Linked DNA regions of Diceros bicornis minor. Each later gene encodes a partner of the first gene's protein in a complex. Links are inferred from orthologs where the notes say so. Each region holds a gene or a part of one and is shown on either strand. Other genes may lie near its edges. The genes, in order: SPAG9 and ARF6.

Region 1 (8,244 bases):
GATTCACTCTGAGCTAATATCTGTTGCAAATCTCCCCCCAACCTTTTTTTTGCTTCCCAGAGCCCCAGTATATAGTTGTATATTTTAAAGCCCTTCTAGTTCTCCTGTGTGAGCCACCGCCACATCATGGCTACTGACAGGGGAGTGGTGTGGTTCCGTGCCCGGGAACTGACTTGTGCTGCAAAAGCAAAGTGTGCCGAACTTTAACCACTAGGCTGTCAGGGCTTGCTTGACAGTTTCTTCTCATCCTCTTTCCTTTCTCAGCATGACTGTTAATAAATGTATCAAAATTAATTTCTAAACTACAATGGATTTGCAATGTCATCCTCAATGAAATCTATTTAAAGACTCTTTTGGAAATGGGGTCCAGGTTTGTCTGATGTTTCCTAAAATACCTTTCTTTTTTCTTTTTTTTAAATTTATTGTGGTAACATTGGTTTATAACATTATATAAATTTCAGGTATACATCATTATATTTTGATTTCTGTGTAGATTACATCATGTTGACAACCCAAAGACTAATTACAATCAATCTAATCTATACTTTTCTTATCTATTTACTTAGGAGACTCAAGTGAGGGAGTAGGGAGACAAAATTCAGGTTTCTTGCTAACGAGTTTCATCGGATGCTTACTTGCTTCAGAGAAAACAAGTCCTCTTGCACTTGACACCTTTCCCACAGAGACAGTGAAGACTTCCTGGATCACCTTATAGATTGTTAAATGTTAACCATGTGTGTGGCCAGCCCCATGGCAAAGTGGTTAAGTGAGCGTGCTCCACTGCTGGTGGCCTGGGTTCGGATCCCAGGCGTGGACCGATGCACCCGTTGTCAGGCCACGCCGTAGCGGTGTCCCACATAAAGTAGAGGAAGATCGGCAGGGATGTTAGCTCGCGGTCAATCTGCCTCAGCAAAAAGAGGAGGATTGGCATGGATGTTAGCTCAGGGCTGATCTTCCTCACACACACACACAAAAATGTTAACCATGTGATATCTGGGAGATGGCATTACCTGAGTGATTTTAATTTTCCTCTCTGTGCTTTTCTGTATTTAGCAAATTTTCTACAGTAAGTATGCATTTCGTCTATAATTGGGGAAAAAATCCAACCAACTCACTGTTTTGAAAACATATCTTTTATTCCCAGAGTGAGATTCGGCTCAATGTGTAAAAAATATACTGAGAGTTGGGTGATGGGCCTCCTCTTCTTCCACTCCACTCAAGTCAGATGGAGGTAGGGAGAAAATAGACCTGAACACGAATATGACCAATATACCTTGGGCCCATCAAAAATAGCCTCAGATACTGGGATTCTTGCTTCAGCAATATGTTCAGCCTCCTCATCTTAGAGGCAATTTCTGGTAGTCCAAAGTTCTGAGGGGAGGGGGAGAAGAGGGGGTTCCAAGGAAATAGCTCTTGTCTAGAGGGTTTCTTGCAACTTGAACCTGGACATATTTATCCATTGTATCCTGACACCTTAAAAAGGCTTTCAAAGGGAAAACTGAGGGCTCAGAAAAATCCTCCGGCACTTTTCAAGAGTCCCGGATTCCACAGCTAGACTGCCTCACCAAGCACGTTCTAGTTTGGATGGGGTGATGAATCACTTATCATTTCACACCGCCATAAGTGGAGGGCCTTGTGCACTGGGAGCCCTCTTTTCCCTTCCTCTCTCAGCAACCGTCTCTCCCCATGTGGGAAAATGTAGTTTGTGAAACCAGACAAACTGATTCACATAGAAATAACTGTAAAAGTTCCAGAAGGCTAGACAAATAACAGGACCAGTAATTTCAGTGTTCCAGTGATTATAGTTATTGTGCTTAGGAAAAAACTCCTCCCTTCCTGCCCTCATCAACTCCTCCCCTCTGCTGCCCCATTACTGTCCTCACTATTTTTGCAAGGCCAAAGAATCTCTCGAAACGGAATTTCCTTCCTTTTAGGAATCAAGAGTAAACATTTACCCTGCAGTCCACAATATGACCTGTTTTCCTGAATGACTCTTAGTCTTTAACAATAATCTTGGCCCTTGGGGTTAGAGGTGGGTGCTGGGGATTTATCCAGGCAGTTGAGCATAAGAAGTAGTATTACCGCCTACATAATTAGGAGTCGACTAACGCAACTCAGTCTCAAGGCCCTGTCTCCTTTCACTCCCACCTACAAACGAGAATCATAGGATTTTAGAATTGCAAGCAATCTTCATAGATTCGGTAACACACCTCTTCACTATCCAGATGAAGAAGCTCAGGCTCACAGTCCTTAGCGCAGTGCCTGGCACCGAGTAGTACTGAGTAACTATTTACTTTTTTGTTTCTGGCCTAAGTTTTTTCAAAATGACCAGTCCATACTAGAATACAAGGTTCTCACTTTATAATTTTATTTATTTATTTATTTATTTCCCCAAAGCCCAGTAGATAGTTGTATGTCAAGCTGCACATCCTTCTAGTTGCTGTTTGTGGGACGTGGCCTCAGCATGGGCGGAGAAGCGGTGCCTCAGTGCGTGCCAGGGATCGAACCCTGGGCCACCAGCAGCAGAGCGCGCGCACTTAACCGCTAAGCCAAGGGGCCGGCCCAGGTTCTCACTTTAAACGCTGTTTTGTTTCCATTCTATCTCACCGAGTTAAGTGCTTCCATTTGGGTTTACTATAAACTCATTATAGCCAAAAATTTTATTTTTTAACAGCTTTATTGAGATACAATTCACATATCATACAATTCACCAATTTAAAGTGTACAATTCAATGGTTTTTAGTATATTCAGAGTCGTGTATCTATCACCACAATCAATTTTAGAGCATTTTCATTACCTCCCCAAGAAACCCCATACCCATTAGCAATCACCCTTCTTTTCTCTCATTCCTCCAGTCAGCCCTAGGCAACCACTGATCTTTTTTTTTTTTTTCCCCCTTGTCTCCCCAAAGCCCCAGTAGATAGTTGTTGATAGTTGCACATCCCTCTAGTTGCTGTATGTGGGACTCCGCCTCAGCGTGGCCAGACAAGCAGTGCGCCGGTGCACGCCTGGGATCTGAACCCAGGCCACCAGTAGCAGAGCGCGCGCACTCAACGGCTAAGCCACGGGGCTGGCCCTACCACTGATCTTTCATACATGGCTCTTTGTGACTGGTTGCTTTTACCTAGCATAATATATTCAGGATTCATCTATGTTGTGGCATGTACTTCATTCTTTGTATTGCGGAATAATAAATATTCTGTTAGATGCATACACCATATTTTTTAAATCTATTCAACAGTTGATGGGCATATGGCTGAATTTTAAACAATTAAATGTGATCTCTGATAGCAGAAGCTTAAAATCAAGACATAAATATATATCTCATATCTATGTTGAATTTAAAGAAGCATACTTATTATGAAGACTTTATTATAATCTCATACCTGAAAATAAAGACATTTTTTATCTAAATTTTCTTATGTATATAATATTGTGGAAAGACAAAGTAAAGCTTTGTCCTAAGTTTTCCTGTTCCTCTGAATCCCAGCAAAATAGAGGCATATATATATAGGTAGATTGCCTCAGAAACAGCCCTCAGGAAGAGAAAAAAGAAGAGAAAACAAAGATCCAGAGGAAGACCCTTTTTTCTGGTTTTCAAATGTGAGGTTTAGAAGAGAAAGGGCATTTGGGGCTCACACCCAACTAGCTGATCCGCATTCCTGAAACCCTGACACACACACAAACAATATAAAGGTGGATGTGGGGTGATGGTGAGAAAGGGGACAGTACAGGCCGCAAATTCATTCCCATTTGACATCATAAGGCTTAGCACGTTCATTTTTGTCCTTCTGAGTTTATAGATTGGCCCTCGCCCAACCTCCATCCTGTTCTTGTGGGTCTCCAGGTGGGTCCAGATTGGGAGACTTCGGAGGACTAGCTACTGCTTGGTAGGAAGAAGATGAACTTGTAAACATCACGTTGAGGGTATTTATGATCCCAGGAGGTGGCCGATTCCCCCGCTAAACCCTTGTCTATCCAAGTCCTGCCTTCCCTCCCCCTATTCTTAGAGGAACCGGGGCCGCAGAACTCTTGAGTCACCTGCCGCGGAAAGAAGGGGCTTTTGGGAGTGTCTTCCGCTCCGTTTGCAGAGGCTAGATGAGAACACCGGGAAGCGATCCTTGACTCAGCCCGCCTGAGGCTTGGGTGTTGTGTCATTCCCCACACGTGATGCTTTTCCAGGCGGCGGATACCTCACGCATCATGGGACTTATTCACCCCAGTGACTCCACCCCTTTCCTCCTCTACTCCTCAACCCCCTTCTTGCCTCCTCCGCCCCCCTTCAAGACGAGAAGATAAGAGGGTGGCTGGAGGCAGGAAATGCCACTCTCCCAGGCTGGCCAGGAGAAGCAGAGAAAACCCCGAGTTTGGGAAGGTGCGAGACGTGGAGTTACAGTTTTACCCTTCTCCAGAATGCTTTGCACTTCCTCTGTTTTAGGCTATCGTTACTCTCATTATCCCCAGATAGTTCCATCCTATTTGAGACCACCTTATCACTTAGGTAGACCTGGTTTTAGTTAAGGTTTCCCCACTTTCCTCTGACCCCGGAATTCTCAGTCAGAACTGGTCTGAGTCCCCGATCAGCTTTCTTCCCGTTCTAGCCGTGTGACCTTGAGTGAACCACAACTTCTCCGAGCCTACTCTCCATGTCTGGGAAACGCAGGCGAAACGTCTACCGCACCACGCCTGTTGCGCGGAACAAATGAGAAAGTCCTTGTGAGCTGTAAAAAGCAACAGAAGTTAGCTACGTTAATTCTGGACGTGTAGTCACTCTTGCAGAACCCTTCCCTTTCCTTTGGGACCCGCCCTGCAAATCCCGCCTCGTGCTGACAGTTGTCGCCACCCTCCTGTCGCCGTTTTTCCCATTGGCGAACGCACTGTACGCGCGGCGCCGAGTGTTGACGTCACGGCCCCTGCCGGCGCACGATGACGTATTGGCCCCGCCCCGGCCGCTCCTTACCTCCCGCGGGGCCCCGCCCATCGGGCCGACGCGGCGCGAGTCCCGCCCCGCGGGTGACGTGTGCGCGTGAGGCCCGGCCGCCCCGGCAGTTGGTGCAGCGGCGGTTGGGCTGAGGGCGCTTACCCCACCCCTCCCCTCCTCCGGCCCGGGCTCCCACCCCGCCGGGCCCAGCCCCGGCCCTAGCCCCAACCCTAGCCCGAGCCCGAGCCGGGCCCGTCCCGTGCGGGCCCGTGCCGCCCCCTCAGCCGGCGACGCCCCGGGCCGCCCGCCCGCCTGCCCGCCACCATGGAGCTGGAGGACGGTGTGGTGTACCAGGAGGAGCCCGGCGGCTCTGGGGCCGTGATGTCGGAGCGGGTGTCCGGCCTGGCCGGCTCCATCTACCGCGAGTTCGAGCGGCTCATCGGGCGCTACGACGAGGAGGTGGTCAAGGAGCTGATGCCACTGGTGGTGGCCGTGCTGGAGAACCTGGACTCGGTGTTCGCGCAGGACCAGGAGCACCAGGTGGAGCTGGAGCTGCTGCGGGACGACAACGAGCAGCTCATCACCCAGTACGAGCGGGAGAAGGCGCTGCGCAAGCACGCCGAGGAGGTGAGGGCCGGCCGGCCGGCGGGGAGGGCGGGGGCCGGGCCCGAGGGCGGGCCGGGGGCCAGGGGTCGCGGGTCGCGGCCGGGCCTGGCCCGGGAGGGGGGTGCGCCGGGCCTCCTAGGGGCGGGCCTGAGGCCGAGGCCCCCCGACTGAGTCCGGAGGCCGAGAGGTCCCCGGGACCCCCGGCCCGCGTCGGAAGCCGAGGCGGACGAGTGAGTGTCCAGGAGAAGGGAGTGAGATGGGGGAGGCAGGGCCCGGGGAGGAAGCCACAGCCTGGCATGAGGGCACCTGGGGTTGGCTGAGGGCAGAGATTTTAGGATGTCTGGTCGCCTCTTGTAGTTTAGGGAAGCTTCCGACCACCGTAGGATAGTCAGATGGTGGTTCAAACTTTTACCACGACGAGGGGGGGGTGGTGGTGGCATTTAAATATGTATGTAACTTCCGCTGCTTCCAGTACCTTTCCAGGGGGTTGCTGCTTTGGGAAGTTAGAGATCTCCCTCTTTCGGTCAGTTTCTTTTTGATGTTTTAACGCTGTTGAAACAGAGGTTTAATTTTATGTTTTGTATGCCTTGGTTGACACTTTGTCAACACTTAGGTGTTGTAAAGCAATACTCTGTAAATATGGAGAGTATACAACTTTATTTTATGTATCCCACAGCAAAGCATTCCTCCATATCAGGTGGTAACCTTGGACAGTTCCCTTTAAAAACTCTATTTATAAAGAGGACGGGGCGAGGGGCGGGCGGGTTTGAGGAGGTTGTAGGTGACTGCTGGCAACCCATTTCAGACTGCAGTTTACAGGTGCATTTGGCCGGCTCTCAACTCTAGCACCTCAGCAGTGATCTCTGTGCCCTCCCCTCAAGTCTGTGAACCTTTTGGAGCTCTGCGGTGCAGGTGGTCGGTCTTGGACATCTTGAGACAGTCAAGGATTTTAGCTTTCAGGCTGTGTTGGCATTATTTCTGTAGAACTTACCTAATGCAAGTGAAGTGTCCTGTTCATCTTTGTTTCTTGAGCGTGTAGTACACCTGGTGTCTAAATACATGGTGATTGAAGGGAACTAAATGACTAATTATTGAAGGAATGACATGTTCTCTTTCAAAAATACTTGAAAAGTTTTTGGAATGTGAGATTTGTTTCGCAGCTCATTTCCTAACACTAAATAGTACCACCGTTTAAACTTTTTGTCACATAGACCTTTGTACCAGGTCAAATAGTTCTTTTTCAAGCTTTACTGTAGTGATGATTTTTAGTTCTGATTTTGTGAGTCATTTGACTTAAAGGAATGCTGTTATATTTGCCAAACAAAATTGACTTTATTTCAAGAGTATTTCGAAGTATATAGGGAAGGAGGGGTTGAAAAAAATCTAAGGATGGGATCACAATTTCCACTAGTTTAATAGCACGATTTATAGAACAGAGGTCATGTACTGCTTCTGAGAGGGCATGCCATATCTTCATGCCCACACAGGCCCTTGCCAGTGTGTGGATGTACATGGAAAAGACTGGGGAATTAACCACATATACACACAGGTGAGGAGCAGGCCCAGCATGACCTATCACCTGGGGTAAAAGAAATGCTCCCTCCAGCCTTCAACTCCTGTGAGTTCATATAAACATGGGCAAAATGCCAAGGTCACACGTGCCAGGAAAACCATCTGCCACAGGTTGCAGAATCAGAAAATAAAACTGACTAACTGCTGGGCTCTGGGTTATATATTAATTTCGTAAATAAATAACTTTTTAAACATGGGTTATCCAGTGACTTCCTTTGTAATTTATACTTTTTCAAACACATCTATAAATTCTCTCTAATGAAACCTTTTGGCAAAGGGCCATGACCTGAGAATAGAGAACATTGATGAAACGCTAGATGAGCCAACTCCCAGACCACAAACATAAAACCACCTTGTTATCAGTCTTCAAGTAAGATCATAAATCAAGTTTTACCCAGTACCCAGAAATTCATTCTCTCTTAGGCCAATATGCAGAGGTGAATTCTGTGTTTAATTTTCTGTGAGTGCTTTGTTTGTGGCCTTTAATATGGAAACTAAGAGTCTGCTATTAGAGCAAAAGTGCCTCAGGGCATTTACAGCATAAGTATTTGAAAGTATGTAAATGGTCCATCCCCAGAAAGTGTAAAGTAAATTCTAAGCACCTTTGTGGAAATTTAGGAGGGTATGTGAATGGTGAGAATGTTTTAGGAGGTGTGAAGTGCTATAATCTCTTGCTTGCCGGAATTCTCAACAAGAAATCAGAAACTTAATCTTTATTATAATAATATTACTTAATTTGAATACCTTCTGTCTTCTTCTTTGCTTTTATGTGAATGTTTTTGTGTAGAATTAGCCTGCTGTTTTTGTGAGTCTTTAAAAACAACCTAAAGGAGGGCTAATTTTAGGTGGGTTTGTGACCAGTTTCAAATGCTAATCAGGAAATCTTCATCCTGTTGCTCACCTCTCTTCTCTTTGGGCTCTCTACTCCAGCCAGATGTCTTTCCATTCCTTAAGCAAGTCTTGTCTGATGCCTTCGCCCATGCTGTTCCCTTGGCCTACTATGCTTTTCTCTCAGAGCTTCACCTTTTCTAGCTTCTCACTTTCGGCTCAGCTTAAATTTCACTTCTTCATCTAGACCTTGCCTGTCTACTCTATCCACAGTAAGCCCTGCGAATCTATGAATAATTTATTTGTAAATCAGTGA
Region 2 (7,361 bases), on another chromosome or scaffold:
AGCCTTAAAAAAATAATGGTGGGTAGAACTTCTACTGCAGATATTTTGACTTCGTTGATCTGGGGTGGGGCTCAAGCATTTGTGCGGTTTAAAAACGCCCCCAGGTGATTTTAACGTGCAGCCAGGGCTGAAAACCATTTATCTAGTCCAGCTTGCTGAGTTCACAAAATAATTTGGTACAATAGAGAAAAGAACACCAGACTTGCATCAAAAAATCTTAGTTTGAATCTCCTTTGTACCAGTCCTTGATCTTAAGAAAGTTGCTCACCCTCTCAGTGTCCGAGCTCCTTCAGCTGTAAAGAGGAGTAATACACACCGCCCTCATCAATTAAGAGAGATTTCTCTACCACAGAAATAGAGAAATTGATGATCAATGAGGTGAATAACTTAACCAAGTTAAACCTAAGTCAACAAGTGTTGGGAGTAGTTTAAGGATGTAATTTAGCTTTTTCTCTTCACTTGAGCCACTAGACCATGTTGCCTCAGCATTTATTTTTATGGTCTGAAGCTGTAACTATTAAACAGTTTGCTAAACTATCAGCTATAATTTAAACTTTTGTTTTTAGTTCTATTATTCCCACTTTTAATATTGCTAAAAATGAGATGAAGTCTTCATACTCAGGCATAACTAAATTAATCATCAAGGTTTCGATTGGGATACAACTTTTTTTATGGTTAAAGAGGAAGAACTAAAGCCAGCCCTGATGGCCTAGTGGTTAAAGTTCGGTGCACTCTGCTTCAGTGGCCTGGGTTCACTTCCAGGGCACGAACCACACCATCTGTCCATCAGTTGCCATGCTGTGGTGGTGGCTCACATAGAAGAACTAGAAAGACTTACAACTAGGATATACAGCCATGCACTGCGGCTTTCAGGAGAAAACAGGTGTGGGGAAGATTGGCAACAGATGTTAGCTCAGGGCGACTCTTTCTCTGCAATCAATCAATCAATCAATCGGAAGAACTAGAAAGTGATTCCTCAGCTGACACAGGGAAAGGATGAGGGAGGGAACCACCATATTTGCATCCATTAAAGTTACCAAGAATACTTATAAATGAATTGTTTTCATTGTATTCACTGGATTTCTCAGTTTTATTTTTGAGAGTCTCAATCTTTTACTGTGTATCATCAAAAAATGTTTGAAACTTTATTTTACTACATACTAGGCATTATGCTGGCACTAAAGATTCAAAGATGAAAAGAACACACCTCTCTGAGAGAGCTTAAAAACACATAGGTACAATACCAAGGGAGAGCTAACGCTGCAGCCTCAATTAGTTTCAGCTGGAAAGGATTAGTAATTTTTTTTTTTTATCTAAAGATATACTTTATTATGGCTTGTTATTTACTCTTTATTTCTACTGCTAATAAGATTTCCTGGGGCTCTACGCCTTCTCTAGATAGAACTCAATTCTGAGTAAGCCTGGATGAAGGGCTCAAACTGAAGCCATAAGTAGGGGATGATACCTTCCTCAAACAGGTATGTAGTCAGAGCACCCTTGCACCCTCACCATGTGGTCAGAATTGTTCTTGGCACTGCATGGGATAGAAAGAAAAATACTACAGAATCATACAGCATGAGTGCTTTTAAAGAGCTCCAGGAATTCCAGAAATAGGGGAAAACAGCATGGGGTGCTATTGTTCAAGAAGACTTGTTCATTTCATTTCAAAAGCAGAAAGCCAAGCCATTTTTAAAAGTAAATATTTTCTTATAAGATGGTATTTTAGTCAGGAATATCATAAGCATATTATTATATGTGGTTGTTGAACAGATCAGAAATTATGAAATGGTGTTTTATAAAGGGGAAGCCTGGTTTGAAAGTAAGCTGGAGAACTCTCTTCACTTGCAGGCTTTGAGTTAAACAGCAGAGATCAACTTTTCTATAATTTTTGGAGCTTTCATTTGTGTCTAAAACAGTGAAACAGTGCAAACTGAGAAATCCAATATTTTGTTTCAGAAATGTAAATTTTAGTTTATCTGTAAAATATTTCACTGAACAGAAATAATATTTTTAAAATTGAAATTTACCTTTTTTGAACTGTTAACTCTTTCAAGAAGGAATTGAGAAAAAATGTTTCATTGGTGGTATGATTTAGCAGTTGCCTAAATTGTTACTTTTTGCAGATATTTTCGTTTTATTGAAATTCACTTACTATTTTTTTTGACTGCCATGATTACACATACAAAGTTAAAATTTTTCAGTCTTTGTATTTATTTTCTGGCTATTATTAATGATTATTACTTAAAATAATTTATTGTATAATTTATCATATGGCGAGCCACTCCAGAAATCCAGTACTCTAAGATATGCCACTGTATGAAAAGCCTGTCAATTAACATACTATTTCAAACCCCCAGATAAAAATAGTATGTACCTTTTCTTTTTTGTCTTACCTGTGGTATAAAAGGCATTCATTCACTCATTCAAATAATGACTGAACTCCTGATACCTACATGCTGTCACTGGGAACATTATGTTGACAAGACAAAGTCTCTGCCTCCATGAAGCTTGCATTCTGGTGGGGAAAAAATGCAAGAAGGCTTTCAAAAATAACTTTTTTAGCCCTAGCACAGTGCCAGTGCCTGGAAGATGCTAGTGATTCAAGTTGCTTATATTTTTAATTATATCATGCCTTCCACTGAAAAATAAATCCAAGCCCCGCAGATCAACCTCCCCTCCACTTGGAAAAACTGGAATCTGCTGTGAGAAAACTATTACGTTGGAATGAAACAAAATACAACACCCGCCTCTATTTGCCACATAAGATATAACAATAATTACTATGGCACTTTATAGGTATAAAGCATTTTGAGAAATGCTGTAATTGAGCTTCCAAACAACTGTGTGAGGTAGTCAGGGAGACAGCACAATTTCGGGGTTAAGAGGATGAGCTGTAGATTCACGATTTAATCTAAGCTCTGTGACCTTCCAAAAATTACTTAAGCTCTCTGACTCTCAGTTTCCTCATATGAAAATATTAATACTCAAAGCTACCTCATGTGGTTGCTGTGCGGACTAAAACAAAACATTTAAAGTATTTAGTTCAGTGTTTACCATTACGAACACTAAATAAATGACGACTATTTTCATTCATATTCATCTGATTTTACAAATAAATAAAGTTTACAAAAGTTTACACTTAAAAATTCACAGCTATAAAATGGAGGGGTGACACACCGAACCCCAATCTTCTGACTTCAAATCCTTCTTTCAGTTTTATGACAGTGCCTATTAAGGCAGATGGAAAGCAAATTAGATCACTGTCAGAATATTAATAACTTTAGTAAGTCTATTTCAGGCTGAAGCTTATAAGGTTATTATTTAACCAAGCTACCACTGTCAAATTTTCTTAAATTGTTAAATAAAAAGTACGTTACCATATGCTGTTATATCATCTTCCTTTAAAAAAAAAACCTACTTCCTGTTTTTCCTCCCCTTGGTTCATTGATTTTAAACTTTCACCTTATTTGAAGTCTAACCTTATCACTAACCATTTGAAACAAAAAGTTTTCCTAAAGTCTTGCACAAATGGCATGTTATTTAACGCTGAAACGGGGTGCAGAGAGCAAGGTCAGCGTGACACTCGGTGTGCGCACGAAGCGCGAGGTTGAAGGCCTGGACCCGGGCCGATGCCGGAGTCCCTCCTGCGCTGACTGCCGCCGGGGCCTCTCCCAGTGAGGAGTGGCGGGAGGCGGCTGCCATCTCCCTGAAAGGAGGCGGTGTTTAAAGAGAGAAGCCATGGCCTCCTACAGAGCCGAGGACGCGGCCGGCAGGGACCGCCAGTCACACCGTCACTTAAGGACGCGGACTGGGGCCGACGGGCGGGCACAGGCGGGGCCTCGGCGCCACTCCACGCCGGCTCCACACCCAGCCCGGCCTCCCCGCGCTTCCGGGAGACGCCCGGGGCACGAGTGAGACGGGAGGCCCGGAGACGCGGGGAGGGAAGACCACGCGGGGCTCCGGGCGTCAGGGCGCGAAGGCGCGGCCCCACCCCGCGCATCGCTCCTCCGGTTCGAGGCGGCGGGCGGCGAGAGAGCGCGGAACCGGGAGAGGGGAGGGGAGGAGACGCCAAGCAGGCGCCGGGGCCGCGGGACCAAGTCAGAGATTCGCGAGCCCTCCGGGCCGCCGTAGCCCCGCCCCTCGCACGGCGCCATGACGCGGGCGCGCGGGCCGCTCTCCTGACAGGGGTCGCGCCCGTCCGAACGGCCGCCCGCGCCGCGCATGCGCGGTCGGGAGGGGAAGTGAGGCGGTTTCCTCGGCGCCTTTTCCGGCGGCGGCGGCGGCGGCGGCGGCGGCAGAGCTGGGCGGAGGCGGTGGCGGCCGGAGGAGCCCGCGCTCGGGGCGGCGGCCGAGGTAACCTGGCCCAGCCGGACGGGCGGTGCCGCGGTGCTCCCGGAGCCCGCCGTAACCCTCTCTCTGTGTCTCCGCAGGCAGCGCCCGAGTCCCGGTCGGCCCCTGACGCGGCCCCTGCCCCTCGCGTGGCCTGCTCGGCGGCGACCCGGCCCGGGCGGCGGCGGCGGCTTAGGAGCGGGCTCGGGCCGCGGAGGGCGGTTCCGGCCGGCCCGCCCGCTCCCCCCGGCAGGGCGCGGCCGCGCGGGCTCGCGGGCGCGGCAGGAAGCGGCGCGGGCGGGTGATGCCCGAGTGAGCGGGCGGCCTGCCCACGAGGCGGCCCACGGAGCGCGCGCCCCGGCTGGTTCCGGCCCCGCGACCCTGAATGCCCCCGGGCCCGGCCGCTCCGGCGCGATGGGGAAGGTGCTGTCCAAGATCTTCGGGAACAAGGAGATGCGGATCCTCATGCTGGGCCTGGACGCGGCCGGCAAGACCACCATCCTGTACAAGCTGAAGCTCGGCCAGTCGGTGACCACCATCCCCACGGTGGGCTTCAACGTGGAGACGGTGACTTACAAAAACGTGAAGTTCAACGTGTGGGACGTGGGCGGCCAGGACAAGATCCGGCCGCTCTGGCGGCACTACTACACCGGGACCCAGGGCCTGATCTTCGTGGTGGACTGCGCCGACCGCGACCGCATCGACGAGGCCCGCCAGGAGCTGCACCGCATCATCAACGACCGGGAGATGCGGGACGCCATCATCCTCATCTTCGCCAACAAGCAGGACCTGCCCGATGCCATGAAGCCCCACGAGATCCAGGAGAAACTGGGCCTGACCCGGATTCGGGACAGGAACTGGTATGTGCAGCCCTCGTGTGCCACCTCGGGGGACGGACTCTATGAGGGGCTCACATGGTTAACCTCTAACTACAAATCCTAATGAGCGTTCTCCACCCATCCCCGGAAGGAGAGGAATCGGAACCCATTCATAGGATTATCGCCACCATCACCTCTTCCAATGGCCACTTTCTCTTCTTTTCAATTCGAACTCTGGAGTTACTGTTCAACGGTTTGGGGGGGGTTGAGGGGTTTTCTTTTTTGTTGGTTTCTTTTTTTTTTTTTCCCCGCTTTGCGTTAGAATGCTCTGATCTGACATTTGACATGAACACGAAGTGCTAGATGCTCTTGTTGACTTCCAGCAAATGGGATGGGGAAATATAGCAGTTCTTGGTAAAGTCCTTTATAATAATGGTTTGATTTTTTTATTTCGAGAGAATCTTTTTTTCCAATGTATGCTTTTTTTCCTTTTTGCCCAGTTTCCTTATCACTTGCTGTAGATGGCTTATTTTGCATTCATGCAGACTATGTTGCAAGTCTGTTTCATCTAGTAAACTGAAAATTATTGCTTAATCAAACTGCCGTTTGTCTTTTATATTTAAGGCCTTTTCTCCTTCCCTTATGAGTTCTAACTTTTAGTAATTTCCAGTGTGACCTTTTATCTAAGACCAGTATAGTAAACTTAGCCCACAGTGGCAAATAATGAGTAATATCATTGTAATATATTCCAGTTGTACATCAGTATATTAAAACAGGTCATGTAAGAAGTTCTTTGAAATGTCAGCTATTAAATTCTGAAACATAACACCATGCATGAGTAGGGATAAAAGTCAAGTTCCCCATTACGTAGCTAACTTACACTGCATAAAACTATGAAAAAACTATGAAAGTGTAACCACAGATTTTTTTCACTGCAAAGTTAGCAACTTTGCTGTGTTTTCCCTCTTTTTTAACTTTAAAAATAGACTCTTTCCAGAAAATGGAGCAATAATGGTCTATGCCACACACAGATGAAATATTTGTAGATATCTTAAGTGACTTTTGGGCAAAACTGGAATATATACTTTTACCATGTTTCAAATGTCTAAGACCAATAATTTTAAAATTACTAGAACGTTTACTTTGTTCATGAATAAAGCATTTAACAATTCAAATTATATGCACCTTTTACCTAGTTGGAAAAATACACGTTCTTGTTTTCACATTACAGCAACTGATTAAGCTGACAGTAGAAGTCTTTTTTTATAGATGAGTGATCCACATCTCCATTAATTAGAACACTGGAAATGATGTTTTATAGGATATTTAATTCTGGTTGTAGGATTAACTCATGCAAGTCAGATATCCTGTTGGTTCAATAATACACTATCTCCTTTAATGAAGGAAATGTGATGAATGAATGATGTGTAGACGTGAGGAATGACAATTAAAGGGGAGGTAGGATGAAGAGGAAGAACCTACAGATGACGATGAATGTAAACTCATTTTTCTTCAAGGGTAAGCAGTGGGCTCACTGGTGATACCCAGATCCTAAGGAGATTACTTGCTTAGCTGGTTAGGACCAGTAACTAGATTACTGAGACCAGTATGATAATACTTTGAACCAAATGTTAATGCTTGGTAACAGAATTGTGAAGCAGCATCTGGTTCTTATATAGCCTTAAGGATTAATTTTGGAGATCCTCAAGGAATTAAACTTAGGGAATTTCAGAAACATAGACTGCAAAAGCAGTACGCAGGAAAAGGTGGAGTTGGTTTTGTTTATGAGGGTATTTGAAAACTAAAATTGAGCGGGATATCATGGTATCTAGTTGGACAGTATTGGTCCTTCATGCTTTGGCCATATTGTGTAAATGGAGCTTTTACCAAAGACATACGAGAAGCATAAGGCTACAAAAAGTTAACTCTTCAAAGTAAAACTTTTGGGAAACATTTTGCTTAAAGCAGATAAGAAAAGGTGCTATGTCGTAGGCTCCTGATGGTGCAGAGGGATTTTTGAATTCAAAATGCAACTAAAGTATAAAGTTCTGTTTCACTTCAGTAGAATATCTCTAGAAGCTGTCAGACATGTATAAGAACATTTTAGTTGCCTTTGAAATTCCCAAAGCTCCACCATAAATTCTTAGTGTTTTAGATGATTACATTTAAGGTACATAAACATGGGTTATACAAATATCAATGCTGTAGTAACAT

What was found.
Region 2: the proteins of SPAG9 (region 1) and ARF6 are in contact, whole or in part, in a crystal structure (PDB 2W83), measured with the Homo sapiens proteins. The link is inferred for Diceros bicornis minor from reciprocal best matches to the Homo sapiens genes SPAG9 and ARF6. Residues at the interface, in NP_001124000.1 of Homo sapiens: Lys431, Asn432, Ile435, Val438, Asp439, Thr442, Cys443, Asp446, Val447, Gln449; in NP_001654.1 of Homo sapiens: Glu13, Arg15, Lys34, Phe47, Val49, Glu50, Thr51, Thr53, Lys58, Asn60, Trp62, His76, Tyr77, Thr79.

Annotation. Positions count from the first base shown.
Region 1 is NC_080757.1:35,322,305-35,330,548, forward strand, and holds the start of SPAG9 (C-Jun-amino-terminal kinase-interacting protein 4), read left to right. Parts: upstream 1-5,139; 5' UTR 5,140-5,246; coding exon 5,247-5,549; intron 5,550-8,244. UniProt on the Homo sapiens protein: The JNK-interacting protein (JIP) group of scaffold proteins selectively mediates JNK signaling by aggregating specific components of the MAPK cascade to form a functional JNK signaling module.
Region 2 is NC_080744.1:2,126,844-2,134,204, reverse strand, and holds the start of ARF6 (ADP-ribosylation factor 6), read left to right. Parts: upstream 1-4,293; 5' UTR 4,294-4,353; intron 4,354-4,430; 5' UTR 4,431-4,743; coding exon 4,744-5,271; 3' UTR 5,272-7,361. UniProt on the Homo sapiens protein: GTP-binding protein involved in protein trafficking that regulates endocytic recycling and cytoskeleton remodeling. GTP-bound form plays an important role in the transport of multiple palmitoylated proteins form the Golgi to the plasma membrane.